Linked DNA regions of Struthio camelus. The protein of the gene in region 2 interacts with the protein of the main gene of each other region in a biochemical or structural test. Links are inferred from orthologs where the notes say so. Each region holds a gene or a part of one and is shown on either strand. Other genes may lie near its edges.

Region 1 (10,015 bases), on a different chromosome or scaffold from region 2:
GTTTAGGGAAAAGGAAAACCAAGACCTGAACCCAAAGACAAAACAGGGAACTAGGGATGGAAGCAGAGGATGGGAAGGGGGGATAAGCAGATCAGAGCTGGAAAGCAAAAGGGACTGGTAGGGCACCAAGACTGGCACTGAGAAACTGCTAGGAGAGACCGACCTCCTGAGGGTCTGCGAGAGAGGTGGTATATCCCAATCCACGGGTGAGTTAGCAGGAAGAAGGAAGGCACAAAGAGCACCCAAGGAACCCCAGCAGAAAAACTGCGACTGTAAGCCAGTGGGTCAGGCAACACGGGTCAGGGATCCAGTAAAGCTGAAGTAAGGAACGAGAAGAGCTCACTTAGGAAGGCAGGAAGGAAGAACTGGGACTGGTGAGCAGGGAATGACTGGGATTGGTGCAGACATGGGGAAAAAGATGCCAGTACCCACAAGAGGATGGTAGTTCTGTTGGGTTAGGAAAAGTTAACCATAACTCAGACTATGGCAGCTTGTAAGCAAGCTTTTTAACGTTCACAATATTATGTAGGATATTTGTGGAAGGGGGATAAATGAGTATTTAATTCCCCTCAAAACTCTATCAACTGATATCACATTGACAACCACCTGAGTCATCAACAGGTTTAAAACTTCAGCTTTACTGTGTAGAGCTCAGTTGCTTGGACTAATATAACAACTGATAGAGACAGTAGGTTGCTTCTGTGTGATTCCTTGTGCCTTATTAGATGTGTATTCCCTACATCCTGACTTTGTGGCTTTTATTCTGGCAATATTGCCGTTGATCTTAAAAAGCTTTAAAAATTAAGGTGGGAAAGGTGGATACAATACATTCTTTCTGTGTTCTGCAACTAAAATTAAGGCACATCAGTAAGAATGAGTGTAACCCTGTGTACCATTAAACACTGTAACATGAAGGATTTTTTGTGGGATATATACACACACAAAGCCATGGGTCATAAATGCCAGAACAATCCAGAAATCTAACATACTAAATAAAACATCAGAACAAAAGTAATCAACAACTCAGCCAAGAATCTCTGTCTATGCAGAGTGAACTATCTATACCGTCTGAACAAGCAGAGAAACTGACTTTTTGTTTTGGTAATCAGCAACCAATGCATGCAAAACACAGCCCTTTTTAGTGTGATCTATGCTATACCTTCATGATAGTCTTGGAAATAAACGGTGATTTATTATTATATTGCAAGAATACCCTATGCCTAGACTGTGGCTGCTTGACATCGGTAGCAAACTTAAGATGAAAACAATTAAAGCTGTGTATCTGTTGGACAGACAATGCTATCACAATGAATGAACTAGAAACTATGCATAACAAGTAGGTGCAGCAGCAAGAAGAGGTCTTGCATTTATTCTAGGTAAAGTGGATAAGGTTTCAAAATTCAGTTGAAGTAGTGGCTTACTATTATGCTGAATAAACTCATGCCCTTTGTGAAAACAGAATTGTCATCATATCCAATTACATAATGGTTAGTATTCTCTATTAGAAATTGTTTTCTGATTTAAATAAAGTGATTCCTTCACGTAAGAAACCGGCGATTGGTCATGCAGTGTGTGAAGTAATGTATATACAGATTGATTACACTGCTGTTAATGCCTTCAAAGAACTGATTGCTGAAGTTCCAAGTTAAAAGCTTTTGAATGGTGGGCAGGAAAAGGGGTTAGTCATTAGTCACTCTGAAGCACACATCGCTCACCACTAACTTCTTGTGCTGGCAACAGGAATCTGCAATTAAGCACATAACTTAGCATTTCTTTTCTAAAACAGAGGTCAACATGCAATGCATTTCACAGACAAGTGTGTGGTCATCCCTTGCAAGCAGGAGGTTTTCTGAAGTGAAAACAAAAGTATTAACTTGTTTTGCTCCACTGGTGAAAAACAAATAATTCGTTCTGGACCACACACTGAATTAATCATGGTTTGGACATACTGCTTGCTGAGGATCTTGTTCCAGTTCTTGTTCTGATTTTTAGAAATGATTGTCCTGGATGTTCTCACATTGTCTCAGAAAGTCAGATTCGAAAAATCCTGCTCTCAAGGTAAGGCTTCACCCCAAATTTTGTTGTATGTTTTCCATTCAGAAGAAAGGTTAATTCCCGGGCATGTGCTCTATTATTACTAGTATCTGCTTAGTTTAGAGTCTTGGGTAACATTTCCTAATAAAACAAAAGAAGACATATCTCTGATATCTGGAAACAAGTGAACAACGGATAAACAAGTGTTTTTAGAGGAAAAATTTCAAGATGAGGATATTAATTCCTGAAACAATACATTCCTGAAATAAAAGAGTTAATTTAACAAGTATTTGAAATGTTCTGACTTGCATTTTTATTTAGATTTTTTTTTTTATTTTGAATAACTGATATTAAAAGTTTTATTTAGGAAGAAAGTATACAATAATTAATTAATAATGAGTAGCAAAAGAAAATATTGAACACTGAGTATGGATTAAACTTCATTAAAGATTTTCTTTCCTCTGTGGCTGCTAAACATCTGTAGAACTAAACAACCACACACAAAAAAGCACAGCAAAAAGACTACCACCTTGCACAATAAATTTACCTATTTCTGGCAGTTTGGATTATTCACAATGACAGTGAAGAAAAGATCACCTACCTTCACAGATCCATTCTCATAATCAGATCCTTGCAGGAGATGTAGAAAAGACACCATGAAAATATTCACAGTTGCCCACGCTTTGTACATTGTGATGTTTCAGATCCACAGGTTGCTACGCAGTTATTGTCATACAGCTGGAGGCGTCTGTTTCGAAATGCATTTCTCTATCACCAATACAAAAAAGAAAGCTTCCAAAATTTCTGTTATAAACTCACAAAGAATTCCAGCGTATGAGAGTATCTAGCTCTCACTCTTCAAAACAATTATAAATTCGTCTAGTGAATGTCATTTCTTAGAGTAGGTTTTAGATATACTTGAAAGCAAAGCATGATAAGAGTTTAAATAGATATATATCTGTATGCACACACGTACAATCTCACAAGTAATCAGGTATGGATTCCAGTTAACAAAGTTGATATATCTTCCATCAGGACACAAAGAGGTATGAAAAATCCATCTATGGTCCAGAAAATTTAAAAGATCTTCTCTATTTTGTGCTCCGTGTTACATCAGCCTTTTAAGATAGTAGTGTAATGGCCAATGTTTTGAGCTACAGAGCTGTAATCCAACTCTGTATTAAAACTTTTTTCACAGCCTTCATGGAAGCTTGCAGAAGCATGTGTCTTAAATCTGATACAGACTCTGGCAGTAACACAGTCAAATTTTGGCTCTAATCCCATTTTGTCCCTACCAATAGCATAGCAGTTTTTAAACTAACTGATGCAATCTATACTCCCATTATTTTAAAGAAGATTACCTGAAACATGAAACTTCAGCACACGTTCTTACACAGCGCACACATTTTAAGTTACTTCTTAAAAAAAAGAGAGGGAGAGAAAGGAAAAGAGAAAGAAGGAGAAAGATCATTTTCTTTGCTGCCTTTTATCTTCTGTGGCATAGGGTTTTCTGGATAGATTTCCTTTACAAAGGAAAGTTAAAAACTATCCTTAACAACAAAAAGGATTTTGTTTTTAATGAAAACTCCTGAAGCTACAGATATAAAAAGAATAAATCTGTTTTTATTGCAGTAAAAGCAAATTATTTCTGCAGCAAAATGGAAAGACCTAGATGCATTTTCTCTGTATTTTTCCACAGTTTAAAACCAAAATGGAGATCTAACATTTATAATTAAAACATAGAGCAAGGCTTTGCTAATTATGCATGTTTAATATATATTGCTGTTCTCATATATTATATTCACGATCAACTCTCACATAGTTTAGGGTTTGCAGAATCAGAACCTATAGCTGTTAACATAAAAGTCAGCCATGTACCTAATAATTTCAGATCATTTATTTCCTACCTTCAACTTTCATGCAGTAGCTCTCTTAAATCCGTATGCCACAGTTCTGTAACTATCATTAGCTTGCATAATTTCTTCTTCAGTACTCATCACAAATGGACATCAGAGAAAAAATTATTTGAATCCATTCATTCCAGCTGTTGCCATTTAACTGAGCCGTTTTATTTCAGAAGCATATGATGTATGTAATTATATTATTTTTTAGCATAGTCTTTTGCCACCTGTTTCCTGGAAGCTATCTATTCCCCCTTTTTTCTAGGTGGTGGCTTTCTTCCCCATCCATCCTGCTCTGGTTTGTACAAGGACAGCAGGAATGTCACCTCTCTGAATTGGGTGTGAAATAGCTCCTCTTTTCTGTGTGCTTGCTTCTCTCACTCACACCTTCCCCATAGCCATGTTGCCAGTGGTCTTCACGTGGTTTGACAGGCCTCACAGATACAAGGGGCATTCTGTGACAATTACTGTATTTCACATTAAATTACATGAACTATTTATTTAATCATTTTAAATTCGCATATTTTCTAATGCTCATGTATGTTCACCTTAACCTCATTTAATTTCTCCACTTTCTGATACTGATATCCAGGTCCTTGCAGGAACTGAAACCCTGCTGACCTAAATGAATACTCCTTGGCCTTGCATGTGGTGCTCCAGCATAAAGGACTGAACGAAAAAATAACGAAAAATACAGTGCTCCCAGGACTGCATGATAATAACAATTTTCTGTTGACCTGAAGTTAACTTGGGGAGTATCTGCCCAATAAATGAGATCAAAATGTCTCATTTTTGGGGATCATTAATTGAAACACAGACCCAGATTTACAAAACAGGCAAGGAGTGATACTCTCATGCCTTGCAGCCTGGTGACTTAGATGCTTACTTATACAGGCTATCACCAGCACAGTTCAGGGCTGAGCTGCTCTGCTCCCCTTGGGGAGTTCACATGAAAGCCCACCTTTTCTTCAGCCAGGACAGGCACCTGGAGCAAGGCTTCCTGTAGCCATCAGACAGTCTGCTTCTGTCCCTCTCATAAGCATCACCATTCTATTTCATAAGCTGGCAAAGCAAAGAAAAAAATAGGTACATCACAGAGGCTTTGAACACCAGCTATGGAATTTCTTCAGCTCAGTAAGTGTTTAACTATATGAAGCAAAACAGCTTCAAGGAGAGAGTGTAAAGCACCTGTGGTGGTACATTCTACAGATGAGTAATGAAGGCCCATTTCTGAGAATAAGACTATAGCTCAGGTCTTTACTCTGTATCAGGAAGGAAAGTGATTCAAACCCAATGGCTGTCATATCCTCAACATCAAGATGATGGTGATGATGGCCTTTCTGCCTTTGCAGGATCTGCAAAACATACTTAAGGCATTCTTAGCAATCTAGCACTAGAAAAGCAAGGCTGTTTGTTTTGGAAATGCTGGGGAGAAACTCCTTATCGGTGTTTTGTTTGTTTTTTAGTTCATCACTGCTATTTAAGGAATTCAACCTCAAATCACAAATACATTTGGAAAGACCAAACCTACAACTTTCTGGAAGCAAACTAGTCATCAGAAAAATCCACCCACCTCTGCTTCAATGGGCTTTTTGGCAGGATTGCTGAAGTGAACCTCTGGCACTGAATCAAACCCATTTACAAGAGCAAGTTAAATGCTGTAGAGAAGAGAGAAAAAATATTTAATGCCTCCCTTAGGGCTCAAACACAAAGGCTGGCAAAGAAGGAAAAAAACTCTTGTTGACTGCAGTAGACTTTAAATCTAGCCCAAAGCCGTTAATGAAAGCAAATGCAAAGGAAAAGGAATCAGTTGACGGAACAGCACAACAACTGTGATGAAGGACTTTCAGGAAACAGCTTACTTTCGCAGTCTGCACCTAGGTCCCCATCCCTTCCCCTACCTCTCCTGTCTCTCCCCTCTTATTCAGGATATGAACAGGTGTTCTCTCCAGCACCATCTCAGACCAGCTCTTCACACAACTTGCTTACCGTTTTTCCGGTCTAGTGCTGCAATGAGAACAATCTAAATACTTTCAGGATGAAGCTGAAAACTCAGAAGTATGTTGAGATTATACTGCAGGCTGCCTGCAACAGCAGTGGAACAGACTTGTTGCCCAACCAGACGCCTTCCAGGGCTATGCCTCATGTTTTCATTCCATATCTGAACACAAATTAACAACGTTTGCATTCTATTTCTTGTTTTATCTCAGTTTGCTATTGCGGAACACCTACTCAGTTCTGTGCATGGCTGATTTGTAATTTTTTAAAAATCTAGTACTGTAAAAAAAGACATTTAAAATTTATGTGACTATTTACATGACTACTCTTGTAGACACAGCACTACGGACATCAGCAAGGCTAAGGTACTGTTAAATTAACATAGAGCTCATAATTTTATGTCACCTTTGCGTGAGTAGCTGATAGATTAATATTGCAGGAACCAATCAGTACATTAAAAATTTCGTTGAATTAGGTCTATCTCACATATTGATCAAGATACTCATACACTGTTTCTATGATTGAAAAGAACGTATAAAAGACCTAGAAGTTGGTAGATATTGTTAGGAATAGATTAATCATATTTTCTTAATTCTTTCCACTAATTTGTCAGATAGAATACATAGACCAAGTACAGCTTATTTAACAGAAATGCTTACTGTGTTGTAATGCAGGTTCTTTAACTGGGTTTCCCAGTAAATAAGAGGAAAAAGACTTTTACTGATGAATGGAATGCAAAAATAATACTATATTTAGCTTTCAGTGACCAGTGTCACTATTTGCCAGAGAAAACTAAGAGAGAAACACTGCAAACAAAAACCGTCTTCATTTGGAAACATGTAACAAAACACAAAGGGAAGATACGTCAGACCTTTAACACAAGCTTAAGCCATAAATCAGTAACACTGCTCAGATCACGGAAGCCTCATGAGGCCATGCCCTAAATTAACTTCAATTAAACAGATTAATCTCAGATTGCAAAATTAAAATTGTAGATCAATAAAGGCAATTAATTGCCTTTACTCTCAATTAATGCATTATTTCCTCACATAATATGCTTTTGAGAACTCTGCACAAATTTAAGTCTCAGCATGTAGCAATAGTCAGGAAAATAACATAATTCCCAGCTAAGGTCATTAAGTAAGTATTTGTAAGATGATTCTGTGAGGGGATCTGTACATTCCCTCTAAGTAATCCACACACAGAAGAACTTTTGTTTTCTTGCAAATTACATGGAAAAAGAAAAATTGGGTCTATTATCTCAAATATTGCAAACAATGATCTAATTTAGACCTAATAGGATACTTATGACACAGCAATTACACGGCAATTTGAGGTTAATCACTTAGCACACGCACACATGTAATTATTAATTTTAAAATATTTTTGAAGTAAAGCAATTTTTAGCATAGATACTGGAACCAGAAATTTCTATCAAACAGCAGAATGTTTGAAAACACGTTAAGTGCTGAGCTGGACTGATTATTAATAAAATTAACTTATAAAAAATATGCCAGATCTAATAGCCAGATTCTGCTGAGTCGGTGCAGAAAGACTGGGGTGACAAGAGCCCTGAGGAACTACTAACCAGCCAGCTCCAGAATCAGTCCACAGCCAGACTGCCACTTCACCTCATAAGGTTACACTTAAGCTATCCTTAAATTAGATAGCCAGCTATGTTGCCTACTTGCTGCAGTAACTTTAGAGCTCAGTGCAGGCTGAAAAACCTGCCTGAGAAGTGGGCTAAAGAACTGTGTTGTGCCTCTGCTATGCTCCAGGCTGCAGTGGCTAAACTGCTATCAATATCCAATCTAGCTAGATTAAAGCTCACTAGGGAATGTCTACACAAGCTGCAAACACACCCTTGGCTGAAGGGCAGACATACTCTTAGCTTTAAAAAATATGAACCACATTACCCATAAGTTCAATTCTCAGTTACGCCACACTGAGGCACAGCTCAGAGCAGGGACACTATTGCTGACTGTATGCAGCAGGAGGAGCGCTGTCAACAAAAGGCAGATAAAAATCACAAACATACTTGGTTGAACTTTTGAGTGATGAACACACCTTTGAACCGCTCTGCCTTTGAAAGCCTCTACCCCAACCTCTAGGAGAGCACAGCTGCTTTGTTACCTTTTCTAGTTCATATTTGTAATTCCTAATGCCAGGAGAGATGGAAACCTATTGAGCAGATGGTTGCTGTGCTGAAGGTCAGCTTCAGCATCTCAGAGCTAACCTAAGTATGAAAAAATTGGTGTTTCATAACAGGGCTTCCTGTGTTTCTGTGTCTGCGTATAACTCGACTTTTATGGGACCTATTCCCCATGGCCCCCAATCAAGAGAGCAAGACCTATCTCTGGATTCCTGCTAATCAACAAATGTACCACAACAGGAGCTCTATATCTGTTTATCTTCACATCCATCTCTGTGTACATCATTGTTAATGAGGGCACAACTGAAACGATAATCAGACTTTAATTACAGAAGCATGTAATGGCATTCACAACCCCTTAATTTGCTTGTCATTTTTATAAGTCCTCACTTTCTTCCTACAAAGAAATGAGGTGAGCTAAACACCAGAGATAAAAGACTTCTCAAGGTTTTGGAGAGGAATGACAGAAAGACAAAAAGAGAAAGACAAATAGACAGACAGATAGACAAGAAAGGAAGGGAGGAAGGAGGAAGACAGACAGATAGACAGACAGACAAACCAAGGAAAAAATGCCATCCTTGACACCTATTGTAACAAGGGCCTTGTCTCCAGCTTAACTCCAAAATACTGGCTGCTGTTCTGTTAAAGAACTAAGTATGTCAGAGGATCTCTACCTGTTCAAGTGGGACGTCTGAAACAGCTCACAAACATAGCCATGAAGGAGGCGGATACCAAGAGGATGGCTGCAGAGTCAATAGTTCAATGCCTACATTTAATCTGACACTTCATATCCCATTACTGTACAATAAGCAAGGCAAAGCACAATGAGTATCCAGACTGCTGAATTCTGAATGGATCGAGAGCAAAGCAGATGAACTCTTGGATGCTTATCAAGGAGGAAATAATAACAATAGGTCCTCATTTTCTTAAGTATACACAGCACTGTTGCTAAATCACCCTGGGACTTAAGGGTATGTGCAGCTTGCACCAACTTGTGTAACCGAATAGACATTTATTGTATCACATCAACCTTACAATTTCTTAAGAGGAAAATGTGGCTGCAGATGACATCACTATCCTTAACCTTGCAATCTATGGGTAAGGTCTTGAGCAAGTTAAAGAACCTTGTCTGTTCCTCCTGTACAGCAGGAGCACTTCTGCACTCATGCTGCTAATGACAAGGTAGGGCCAATTGGCATTTTCTCTTCTGTTAGAACAAAATGTTAGGTATTTCCGTAGGGAACAGCAACAGCACAGCTTGGACTCTATGTGCTTTTAATATTTCTATTTGCTTATCCTGTGCTAGGATAGAGTCCTATATATGTAGAGTCCTATAACAATATAACTCAAGTCACTGTAGGACAGATAGTGGCAGCAGAGCATGTACAGGACATCAGGGAGATCACAGGATCACAGAATTGTTTAGGTTGGAAGGGACCTCTGGAGATCATCTAGTCCAACCTCCCTGCTCAAGCAGGGACCTCTAGAGCATATTTCCCAGGATCACATCCAGACGGGTTTTGAATATCTCCAGGGAAGGAGACTCCACTACCTCCCTGGGCAACCTGCTCCAGTGCTCTGTCACCCTCACAGGAAAGAAGTTTTTCCTCCTGTTCAGATGGAACTGCCTGTGGTTCAGTTTGTGCCTGTTGCCTCTTGTCCTGTCGCTGGGCACCACGGAGAAGAGACTGGCCTCATCCTCTGGACAGCCCCCCTTCAGATACTTGTACACATTGATCAGATCCCCTCTCAGTCTTCTCTTCTCCAGGCTCAACAGGCCCAGCTCTCTCAGCCTTTCCTCACAGGAGACGTGCTCCAGTCCCCTCATCATCTTTGTAGCCCTCTGCTGGACTCTCTCCAGTAGCGCCATGTCTCTCCTGTACTGGACACAGTACTCCAGATGTGGCCTCCCCAGGGCTGAGGAGAGGGG
Region 2 (10,138 bases):
GGGAGGTGTGGGTGGGCAGCAAAACCAAGTGGGACCTGGGGGTGGCTGCAGAGGCTGTGGACCGGGCAGCGAAGGTCAAGCTGTGCCCAGAGAACGGCTACTGGACACTTCGCCTGAGGAACAAGACAGAGTACTGTGCCACCACCACCCCGTGGGTGCGCCTGGCCCCACGGCGGCCGCCCCGGAAAGTGGGGGTCTTCCTGGACTGTCACGAGGGCACCGTGGCCTTCTTCGATGCTGGGGACATGTCTCACCTCTTCACCTTCCGGCAGGTCTCTGCAGAGAGATACTGCCCCTTCTTCAGCACCTGCTTCAGTGATGGGAAGGACAACATGGAGCCCATGCGCATCTGCCACCTGGCCCTGTGAGGGCAGAGGGAGGAGAAGGGGGTGGTGTCCCATGGGGGCCATGGGGATGCTGCCGTCATGGCCAGGCTCCTGCGCTGCTTCTGGCTGCTGCCGTTTGAGGAGTCTCCTGCCGGAGGGAAGTGCCTGGCTCCGCGGGCTGCCCAGAGCCCGTGCGGTGGGCCGGCGTCCGGGCCTGTGCACAGCCACCTGGTGACAACAGCGAGGCTCTTCGCTGGCTCCTGGCAGAGAGAGAGCAGATGAATCTCATCCCCTTTCTGGCTCTGCTCTCACGTTGCAGTGCCGTGGGCTGCAGATCCGGCCCTGCGCTCTGGCTGACGCGTGTTGGAGAACAGCCTGTGAAATCTGAAAGTTGCAGAGCTCGATAACTGGAGCTGCCGGAGCTGTGGCCTCCACGCCGTGGCTCTTCTGCTCGTGAAGCCCGCAGAGGACAAGGAGAGCGTTTGCAGAGCACCAGGACCCGTTATCAGGTGCCTCCAAGGGCCAAGAACATGAGCGATGCCCGCGAGGGCCTGCATCCATCGTGTGCCACCGGGGTGGCCACGCATGAAGGATTTCTGAGCCCAGATGAGGGGATTTCCTCTGCTTGGAGCGCGTTTCCCGGGAGGCTGCAGGACCGCTCCCGGCAGAGGGAGCTCCGTGCTCGGCCAGAGCATGGCCCGGGCCCCGCTGCACCTGAGAGGCCGCGGGACTGGCTCCCCCCAGCTCTAGCTGCGGTGCCACCATTAAAGCTTCGAAAGGCTGCTGCCTGCTGTACTGGCTCGTGTCTTGCAGACTGCAGAGGAGCCCGAGGGCTGGGGTATGGCACGACCCAGGGGGATGTGGAGCAGCCGTGTGTGGCTCCGGTCCCTGTTCCGGGCCAGGCTGCTTCCCCTCTGCCCTGTAGCACAGGAGCTAGGAAGAGAGATGGTCCTGGAGGGCTGGGCGGCGGGGATGTGTGTGCAGCGGTGTTTGGGTTAGGGCAGCCCGTGCCAGCGCTGGGGACCTGGCGGGTGTGCAACCTGCCGCGCAGCTACTTCTGCATTGAAGCAACTGGGGTTTTAGATGTTCTTCTGATCCCAGCGAGGGACTTTCCCTTATGGGAGCAGTGGCTGCAGCGGCCCCGCCGTACCCTTGGGGCGCTCCCCAGCCATCTTGCCAGATGCTTTTAGCCTTTTGCTGACCCCCTTGGTCGGACTGCTTGGAAAGGGGGCCGTGTTGGGGGAGAGCTGGCAGCGAGCGCGACGCCCCAGCCTGGAGGAGTGGGGAGGGTTCGTCTGAGCCAAGCCCAGGCCTGGGGCCTCCGCGTCCCGACAGCGGGCACCCCGAGGGACGTGGCTCTGCCTGTGCCCCAGCCTCCCCGCTGCTGCAAAGCATGAGGCAGCAAGGGCCGAGCACGGGACGGCCTTAACTGAGAGCCCAGCCAGGGACTCGGGTCTCTGTGTGATCCGGAAGCCGCCCCGTCCTGGCTGGCTCTGGAGCATCCCGGGTATGGCGGATCGTTGCATGCGGGCGCTCGCTCCTTCCTTGGCTTTGTAGCCCCTCTCGTGCCCGCGTGCACCCTCGCGCCGAGCACTGGCTTGTCCCGCCGTAACGGTGGCGGATGCTCCGGCGGCACCGAGCCGATTCCTTCCCCCCCCGGAGCAGCCCTGGCGGGAAGGCAAAGCCGGGCTCCCCCAGGGAGAGGTCGACTGGATTCTGCTGCCGCGGTTTTCGCCCGCGGGGAGGCCGGCTGCATTGCCGTCTCGCCTCGGCGGTGCTTCTGGGAGGCCGGAGGTGCTGGGGCCGGGTGGGCGGAGGCCTCGGCCGTGGCCGGGGTGGGATTGCCGTGTTTATGCCACCGAAGTCCGCTTCGGGGTCAAAGCGGAGGCCGCCGCTAATCCGGCCCCGCGTAGCCTGAGGTGCTGGCGGGAGCGAGGGAGCTCTCGCTCTGCAGAGGCTCGAGGCCCTGCGCCGCGGTGAGGGCCAGGAGGGCTTCCCGGCTCCTTACAGCCGTGCCTAAGGACGTTCGTCCCAGCGCGTCCTCCGCCTGTCCCTCTCCCTGCCCCGCCGGGCACGGGGGCGAGGGGCTCTGCCTTGCAGCGGCCGGAGGAGAGCGCCTTGCAGGGAGCGCGGGCGGATGTCCCCGACGCCTGCCTGCCCTGCTCTTGGCGCGTCCCCTCGCCGCCCGCCGCGAGCAGGGGAAAAGCAGAGCAGGAAGAGCCGCTTGCTCGGACAGGCTGCAGCGAGCGGGCGAGATGCCGGGGCGGTTCGACGGCAGCGGCCCGTCGTCTCCCCCCCCCACCCCAGGGTGGCTCTGCTCCCGAAACGCAAGCAGCTCGGGCTCGGGAGCGAACGGCAGCCATCGCCGGGCGGCGGGATGCCTGGGGGACGGCGGCACCGCGCTCGGCACGGGCTGCCGGCAGCGAGCGGCACCGCCGCCGCGGGCCCAGCCCCGAAGCGGCACCGCTGCCTCCCTGCTCCTCCCTGAAAAAAAGCCGCGTTGCACCGAAGCCCGCTGCCCGGCGGAGCGGGCATCCGAGCGCGCGAGGGCCCGGCCTCGCTCTCTGTCCCCTGGAACGGGCCGCGTTGTCCTGGCTGCTCCCCTGGTCTCGCTCTGCCGCACGTCCCGCCGTTAGATGGCAGCACGGGCGGGCCGGTCCCCGGCCGGGTGCCAAATTTGGACTGCACGGAGCTAAGCGATGCCGAAATGCTTCGGCTTTCGGGGTGCCGGGGAGGTCGGGCCGCCTCTCGGCGGGGCGCTCCCTCCAGCCTCTCGCCCCTGCTCGCGGCTCCATCGCTCTGGCCTTGCCACGGCCGGGAGCACCGGGGCGGCGCGGCTCCGCCGAGGGACCCCATCCCGCGCTGCCCGGCCTTGCCGGGGCCCCCTCGGGTTTTGGGCCGGGAGGTTGGTTCAAGACGAGCGTGCTGAAGAACAGCCCGGCCGGGTGCTCTCGGGGTTAAAAGCTCGCAAAATCCTCGCTGGGGCCGTGCTTGCGGCGGCTGCGGCTTGCCTCGCGGGCCGGGCAGAAGGGCTGCCGGTGTTTCTTGCGCAGGCTGGGCAGCGAGAGCGCTCGAGCGCGCAGAAGGTTTTCGCGCCTGTTTAAAGCCGCGAGCACACGGGTCTCCTTCGGGCTTCTGCAAACGGGCCGTGATTAATAAACCGCCGCGGCGCAGCGCGGGGCCGCGTTTCTTTATTTATTTAAAGCTCCGCACGACGCTGCGTCCGTCTGCACGGAGATTACCGGTTACTAGCTGCTAATTGAATGGCATTTCTGCACAGCTCTCCGCTTTCATCTTCTTCGCGGGGTTTTTTCCCTCTTTCTTCATTGCTTGGTGGCGCCTGGCCCAAGAAGGAGATTTTTTTTTCCCTCCTTCCACCAGCTCTGGAGCTCCTGACCGCCCCGGTACCCCGGGATCCTACGGCCGGCCGCAGGGACCCCGCGGGCCGGCAGGCACCCGCGTCGGCCACCCGTCGCGTCCAGCCGCCCAGGGTGCTTTCTCAAGGGACGGTTTTGCAGGGGCGCGAAGCCCGGCCTCGCTGGCAGCGGCGCGGGGGCAGCGGCGCTGGCTGGGGGCGCGCGCGGAGCTGCGGCAGCAGCTGGCAGCGCCTCGGCGCCCGCGGCGCAGCCGAGCGCCTTCCCGGCCGCGCGTGGCAGATGGCATCCCGCCGTCCGCGGAGGAGACGGCTGCGGCCCCCGGGGCAGCCGAGGGGCGTGCGGAGCGGCCCACCGGCCCCACGGCTCCCGGCGCCCCTCGGCTCGCCGAGGCGGAGGGCTGGGGCTGGCAACGCGCCTGCAGGATGAAGAATGACTTGAAAAGGGAAAAGCGAGCGGAAAGAAAGCAGCGAAGAGCTGGCGGAGGAGGGAGCAGGCAGGGAGCAGCCCGTGCCGCAGAGGGTGTCTCCGCGGGCCGGCGTGCGCGCCGGCCCCGTGTTTCGTGGCACGCACGTGTCTGGGTGCGGATTCGGGCGCGGGTCTGTCGGCGAGGGGTGCCGCATGCCACGTGTAGCGGTGCTGGGGAGCGGAGCGGGTGTGCAGGGGGCGAGGGGCCGCGCAGCGACGCGGCTGCCCCACGCTGCCGGCGGCGTGCACGGGCGGGCTGCAGCACCGGGGCGCCCTCGCGCCCCCCAAGGCGAGGGTGTGCGGGAGCGAGGCTGCGCCCGGGGCGGGAGGAAGCGCGTGTGCGTCGCTGTGTGCCCTTGGGGGGTGTGCGGGGGGAGCGGGGCTGCAGGAGAACTGTGTGCCTAGGCGTGCGTGTGCAGGTGTGAGGTGTGGGGTATTGCGCGCGCGTGTGTGTGTGTGCATGCAGGCATGAAGGGGTGTGTGCGTGCAGGTGTGAGGGGTGCATGTTCAAGTATGAGGCTTGTGCGTGTGCATGCTGGTGCGAGAGGATATTTGTGTGCATTCCCACAGGTCTGAGGAAGTGTGTGTGTGTGCACACTAGCACAAGTAAGGGGCAGGGGGTGCATCGGCATTTGCACGCAGATGCAGGGTGATGCGTGTCCATGCAGATATGAGGAGGAGCGCAAGCATGCCCACACGGATGCAGGGGGTATGCACATGCGGACACACAGATGCAGGGCACCCATGCACGCAGATGCAAGGGGATACACACACTTGCACAGAGGCATGGGGAGGACGCACACCCGTGCACGCCAGAGCAGGGAAGAAGCACAGCGACACACACAGGTGCAGGGTTCTGCACACACAAGCACACAGGTGCAGGGGGATGCAGACACATGCACACAGGTGCAGGGAGGGTACACACACAAGCAGATAGGTGCAGAGTGGTGCACATACGCACACAGGTGCAGGAGGATGCACACACAGGTGCACACAGGTGCAGGAGGATGCACACACATGCACACGGATGCAGGGTGGTGCACACACGCACACAGGTGCAGGGTGGGTGCACATACAGGTGCACACAGGTGCAGGGTGGGTGCACACACACACACACAGGTGCAGGAGGATGCACACACATGCACACAGGTGCAGGGTGGTGCACATACAGGTGCACACAGGTGCAGGGTGATGCACACACACGCGCACACGGGTGCAGGGGGAAGCACACACACACGCACACGGGTGCAGGGGGATGCCCATGGCTGCCCACGCATGAAGGAGGGCTGCAGCGGGGAAGCAGAGGCATGCACTCCGGTGAAGGGAGGGACGCACATGCACACACACACAGAGTCCCCCCGCCGCCCCCCCCCCGGTGCAGAGGGATGCACACACAGCCGTGCGGGGACACACGCCCACCCGCGCGGCGGCGCGGCCCCCGCACCCAGCGGCGGGGCGCAGGCGGCGCCGGCAGGTGCGCCCCCCTCCCGCGCCCCGCCCCGGCCCCGGCCCCGGCCCCCCCGCGCCCCGCGGGCCCGGCGGAGGGCGGCGGGCGGCCGGCCGGGCGGGCGGAGGAAAAGGAAGCGGCCCCGGTGCTCCCCGCCCGCCGCGCGCGTCGCCGCAGCTGGGGCGCGGCGGGAGCAGAGCTCGGGCGCGGGGCGCTCCGCTCCGCACCGCTGCGCACCGCTCCGCGCCGCCGGGACCTGCCGCCGCCCCGGAGATGAAGAGAGTTTGCACGCTGCCCCTCTGGCTCTGGCTCGGCTTTGTCTCGGAGGCAGGTGAGCGGCACCGGCCCCCGCGGGGCGCCGGGCGAGGTGGTGCCCCCCTTCCCCCCCCCCTCCCCACCCCGGGCAGGCTGCCGGGCGGCTGCGCCCCTTCTGCCCCGCTGGCCGACGTGGGGCGGCCCCGGCGGGGCTGTGCCGGGAGCCGCCGCTGCCGGGTCTGAGCCCCGACGGGCACCGCCGCTGCCCGCGCCGGCATCGCCCGGCCCCGACGGGGCCGCGCCGCGCACCGGCGCTGCCGCCCCGCTGTCCCCGCTGGGGACGTGCCGCGCCCCGACGGGCACCGCCGCCGCCCGCCCCGCTGTCCCCGGCGGCCGGGATGGGCCGGGCCGGGCCGGGCCGGGAGGGCGCCGTCGCGGTCCCCTCGTCGCCGCCTCTCGCGGGGCCGCGGCGGGGGCTGCGGGCGCGCCGGCGGGGCAGCGCGCAGGCCGGCTCCGCGCTCCGCTCCTTCCCTGCGCAACGCTCCTCCTGCCGTAGCGCTTCTGGGGCGAAAGGGCCTTGGGGCAGAGAGTTGAAGCCGCGGGCCGCGGCGCGGTGCGGATGGACGCCGGAGCGCGGCGGAGAGACGGGGCTGCGACCCAGCCGCCCGGGGCGCGGAGGGCAGGGTGCTGGGCCTGGCGGGGTGCGCGTGGCCAACCGCGTCTGCTTTCCCGGCTGAGCCTCCGCGGCCCCGCGTAGCGCGGCGCTCCGGGCTGTTGCAGCGGGGTGCGCGTTGCTGTGGGTCCGCGGGGGCCCTCCCTTCCTGCGCAGAGCAGGGAGCTGATTTTGGTGCCAGGAGGCTGCAGGGTGGTGAGTGGCGTATCTCGAGGGGTACCAGGCCACCGCTGCCAGCGGAAAGTGGGCACGGAGCAGGCAGGGAGCGACGTGGGGCGCTCGCCACCAGGCAGGAGCCCAGGGAGTGGGCGTGGGGCACCAGCTCCACCGTCTCAGGCTGGGCACGCTCCTGGATGCAACAGCAAAGCGTTGACAGCCCAGATAAGAGCGAGGCTGCCAGAAAAGTTAGTAACGCAGGAAGCTTCCAACATGGGGAGATGAATTTTGGGAGCATAAATAGAATTCGCTGTAACCTCAGCTCGGTGACTCACTGTCACCGGCTGCGTTTGCTGCCGTCGTCAAAGCGAGCTCGCAGGAGGGCTGCAGGTCCAACCCGTCCCTGCTGCGAAGGGTACGGAGGTGTGTTATGGGGAGCATCGCTGGCAGAGGGCACTGCCAGGGCAGGACCACGGGGAGGGCACCACACGGAGAGCTTGCACTGTCCCAAATGCTGCCAATTTGCCTTGTGTCCTGGACTCGCCAGGCTGTTGGACCTCAAGGGGAGCTCCGGGAGGCAGGGTAGAAAGGGACTTGCTGCTGGTGGCATTGCGAAGAGAGCTGCAGCTGTTCAAAGCCCTTTTGTTAGCAATTTGTAAAGCATCTTGTAGCTGTTCCTCAGGTTCTTTCATCTCCCGGAGGTGCTGGGAGCTTTGCCTTGGGGATACTCTGACCAGCGCGCTGCTGCGTGATGTGTGGGCCTAATCAGCTAAGGGCTGTGCAGAGCTTTGAAGCTCTCCAGCGCTGCCTGATTAGTGCCACAAGGAAGGTTGACACAGAGCTCGACTGTGGGACCCAATGTCTCGTGCACAAAGCACCCACAAATTCTTCAGTGCATCAAATCCCCATTTAACGTCTTTACAGCTAGGTGCAAATACTTGCTCTCCCTGGAAGCAGGGACATGGGTATGAGATTGGTCCACCCAGAAGGTAAGAAGGATCTTGAGACTGTGAAAGATTTCTTCTGCTCTCACTCTGGTTCCTGTGTCCTGGGTATTGCTGCACCCCATCGCTGGGCTAAATGGGCCATCGCGGATTGGGGGTGTCTGCCTCTTTCTGAGAGCGCGTGGCCTTTCGCTCTGTCCCGGCTTGGAGGTTCTCTGCAGGGCGCGTGGTGGACGCGGGCTGCTGCCCTCTGCCTGGATGGAGCAGCCGCGGTGCTGCCCTGCGCGCGCACCATGGCGGGGAGCAGACGGGGTGCGTCTCGGGGTGGCCCTTTGCGGACGGCGCGTGGGAGCGTGCGCTCCCTGCCCGGCTCTTGCAGCGGCGGTGAGCAGCCACGCTCTGCGCCAGGACGAGAGCTCACCGCCCCGCAGCCGAGCAACGTCGGCGGGGGACCCCAGCTTGCCGCTTTGAACATCATCTCTCAGAAGGGCCCGTGCCTGTGTAGGACGCGGGCCGACTGCGTTGGCTGAAGCCGCGTACCCTCCTCGAAGAGCGCGCAGACCTCCCCCCGTCCGGGTGCTGCTCGGACGGTGCCAGCAGCAACATTTGGGTTTGCAGCTGCGATTTGAAGCAGTTGCTTTATTGCAAGTAATAAACAGGGGCCATTTCGGCAACACCCTTTCGTGAGCGCGCAACCAACCCCACTCTGGTTTAATCCAGCCACTTGTTAGTGCTGAACCAGATCCAGGGCCGGGGAGGCGGGCGATGGGGGGGCTGCGGGGCCGCAGCTCGCGAGCGCTGCTGCGGGGCTCCCGGCGAGGGGGCGGCCGGAGCCCCCGTGCCCTGCTGTCTGTTTAAGGAGAAATTCAGATGAATGGGCTGCAATTACCACCCTGGGATTTGGCTCGGGCACGCGAGCCAGCGGCTCCGTGCCTGCAAAAACAGCCACGAGGATGTTTGTTGCCGAGCTGGAGTTGACGTCTGGCCGGGGGACACACCCCCAGCGGCACAATGTCCCCGGGGCAGCGCGGGACGGGGACGGACCCATCCCGGCCAGGAGGGGGGCTACCTCCGGCATCGCCCACCCCGCTCCGCCAGCCCGCCGAGGGCTCTGGCACGCGTGCCGCCGCGCGCGCGGCATCGCCGCCCCCGGGGGGGCGTCTCTGGACCCCGCGGTCGGGCCGCCCGGCGCCCTCGGCGTGGGAAGGGCAGGTGTTCCCGGCTGGCCTGGGAGGGAACTCGCTGTTCCCGGCGTCCCCGGGGCAGTTCCTGGCCAGGGGACGGGAGAGCGGGATCCCACGGGAACGGCAGCGAGAAGGGGTCCGCGCCGACGGCAGGGGCCGCGGCCGCCGCTCCACGGGGTCGGGGGGTCCGCGGCGCTCGGGGGCCGTTTCTGGGCAGAGTTGCCACCGAGCAGAAGGGCTCGCGACGACTCCCCGGCTCTCCGCGGCTTTGGGAAGCGGAGCGCTCCCTAGGGATAGCGCCCGTCTCGCCCGCCCGTCCCCAGCCTCTCGAGCTCCCGCAGCGCCGCAGAGGTGTTTCCAAACGCGTGTCTCAGCCTTGGCTGGCTTTCGAGGCGTTCGTCTTCCAATTCAGGCAGCTGGTTTGAAACGGCACCCAGGGATGGGGACGAGGTTGGGGGGGGGGGGAACGTGTCACCTCCCCCTGTTTGGGGGAGAGGTGTAATAAGCCCAGGGTTGTGGGGATGCCCCGGGGCATCCTATAGATCTGGGGAGAAGCAGAAAGCGCTGCGGTGGCCGGACCGCGCAGCCTGAGCCCGCTCAGGGAGGGTGGCGGAGCGGCAGCGGACGAGCAGAGGTTTCCGCGCGAGGAAGGACGGAGCGCGCCAGGGCGTCGCGAGAGAGGTCTGCAACATCACGGCTTGCCTGGATAAGGCTGCTGGTGGCCAGTCGTCGTGGCGGGAGGATGGGAGGTGCCCCGGGGGCCGGCAGGGAGGCAGGTTGGCCCGTGCAGGAGGGAGGCGGCTGGTCGCGGGCCGCCCTGCAGCCCGCTGCCGTGGGGCCTTGCAGATGTCCGGCGTTTGCATGGGTGCAAAAGGCAGTTGTGCATGGAAAAATACAGAGGTTTTCAAGGAAAAAAAATCCACTAGTGATTAAAATTGAAGGCCTCCTTCCCACCCCAAGGGAGCCGCTCAGCTGCCTGTTGCGGGGAGCCGGCAGGGCGACGCTGGCCTTGCTTTGAGCCTTTTCCCTCGACAGGGGCCACAACCAGCGGTGGAGCGAGGTGCTGGGCAAGGGCTCCTCTGCTGCCGCTGCTGCAGGTGACCCTGCAGCGGGGCGAGGAGACGTGCGGAGGCACGCAGAGCATGGCTGCGAGCTGGAGGAGCCCAGAGACCTTTTTCGTTGTGACCTCCCCGAGTTAATGCCTCGCAGCTGCCCGGGACGCCTGGCTGTCCAGGTCCCCGACTGCAGAGGCAGCTCCTGCAAACCTGCACCTGCGCGAGGAGCCGGCCGACGGCCCGCGAGAGCGTCCCA

The links.
Region 1: the proteins of FLT4 (region 2) and VEGFD form a complex in vitro, tested with the Homo sapiens proteins (2 studies listed by BioGRID). The link is inferred for Struthio camelus from reciprocal best matches to the Homo sapiens genes FLT4 and VEGFD.

Annotation. Positions count from the first base shown.
Region 1 is NC_090942.1:139,491,840-139,501,854, reverse strand, and holds the start of VEGFD (vascular endothelial growth factor D), read right to left. Parts: upstream 4,347-10,015; 5' UTR 3,942-4,346; intron 3,535-3,941; exon of another isoform or gene 3,396-3,534; intron 3,283-3,395; exon of another isoform or gene 3,011-3,282; intron 2,803-3,010; 5' UTR 2,726-2,802; coding exon 2,636-2,725; intron 1-2,635. UniProt on the Homo sapiens protein: Growth factor active in angiogenesis, lymphangiogenesis and endothelial cell growth, stimulating their proliferation and migration and also has effects on the permeability of blood vessels.
Region 2 is NC_090954.1:7,200,351-7,210,488, reverse strand, and holds the start of FLT4 (vascular endothelial growth factor receptor 3), read left to right. Parts: upstream 1-5,796; 5' UTR 5,797-5,888; coding exon 5,889-5,946; intron 5,947-10,138. Other genes in the region: nuclear factor 7, brain-like, read left to right, coding at 1-368. UniProt on the Homo sapiens protein: Tyrosine-protein kinase that acts as a cell-surface receptor for VEGFC and VEGFD, and plays an essential role in adult lymphangiogenesis and in the development of the vascular network and the cardiovascular system during embryonic development.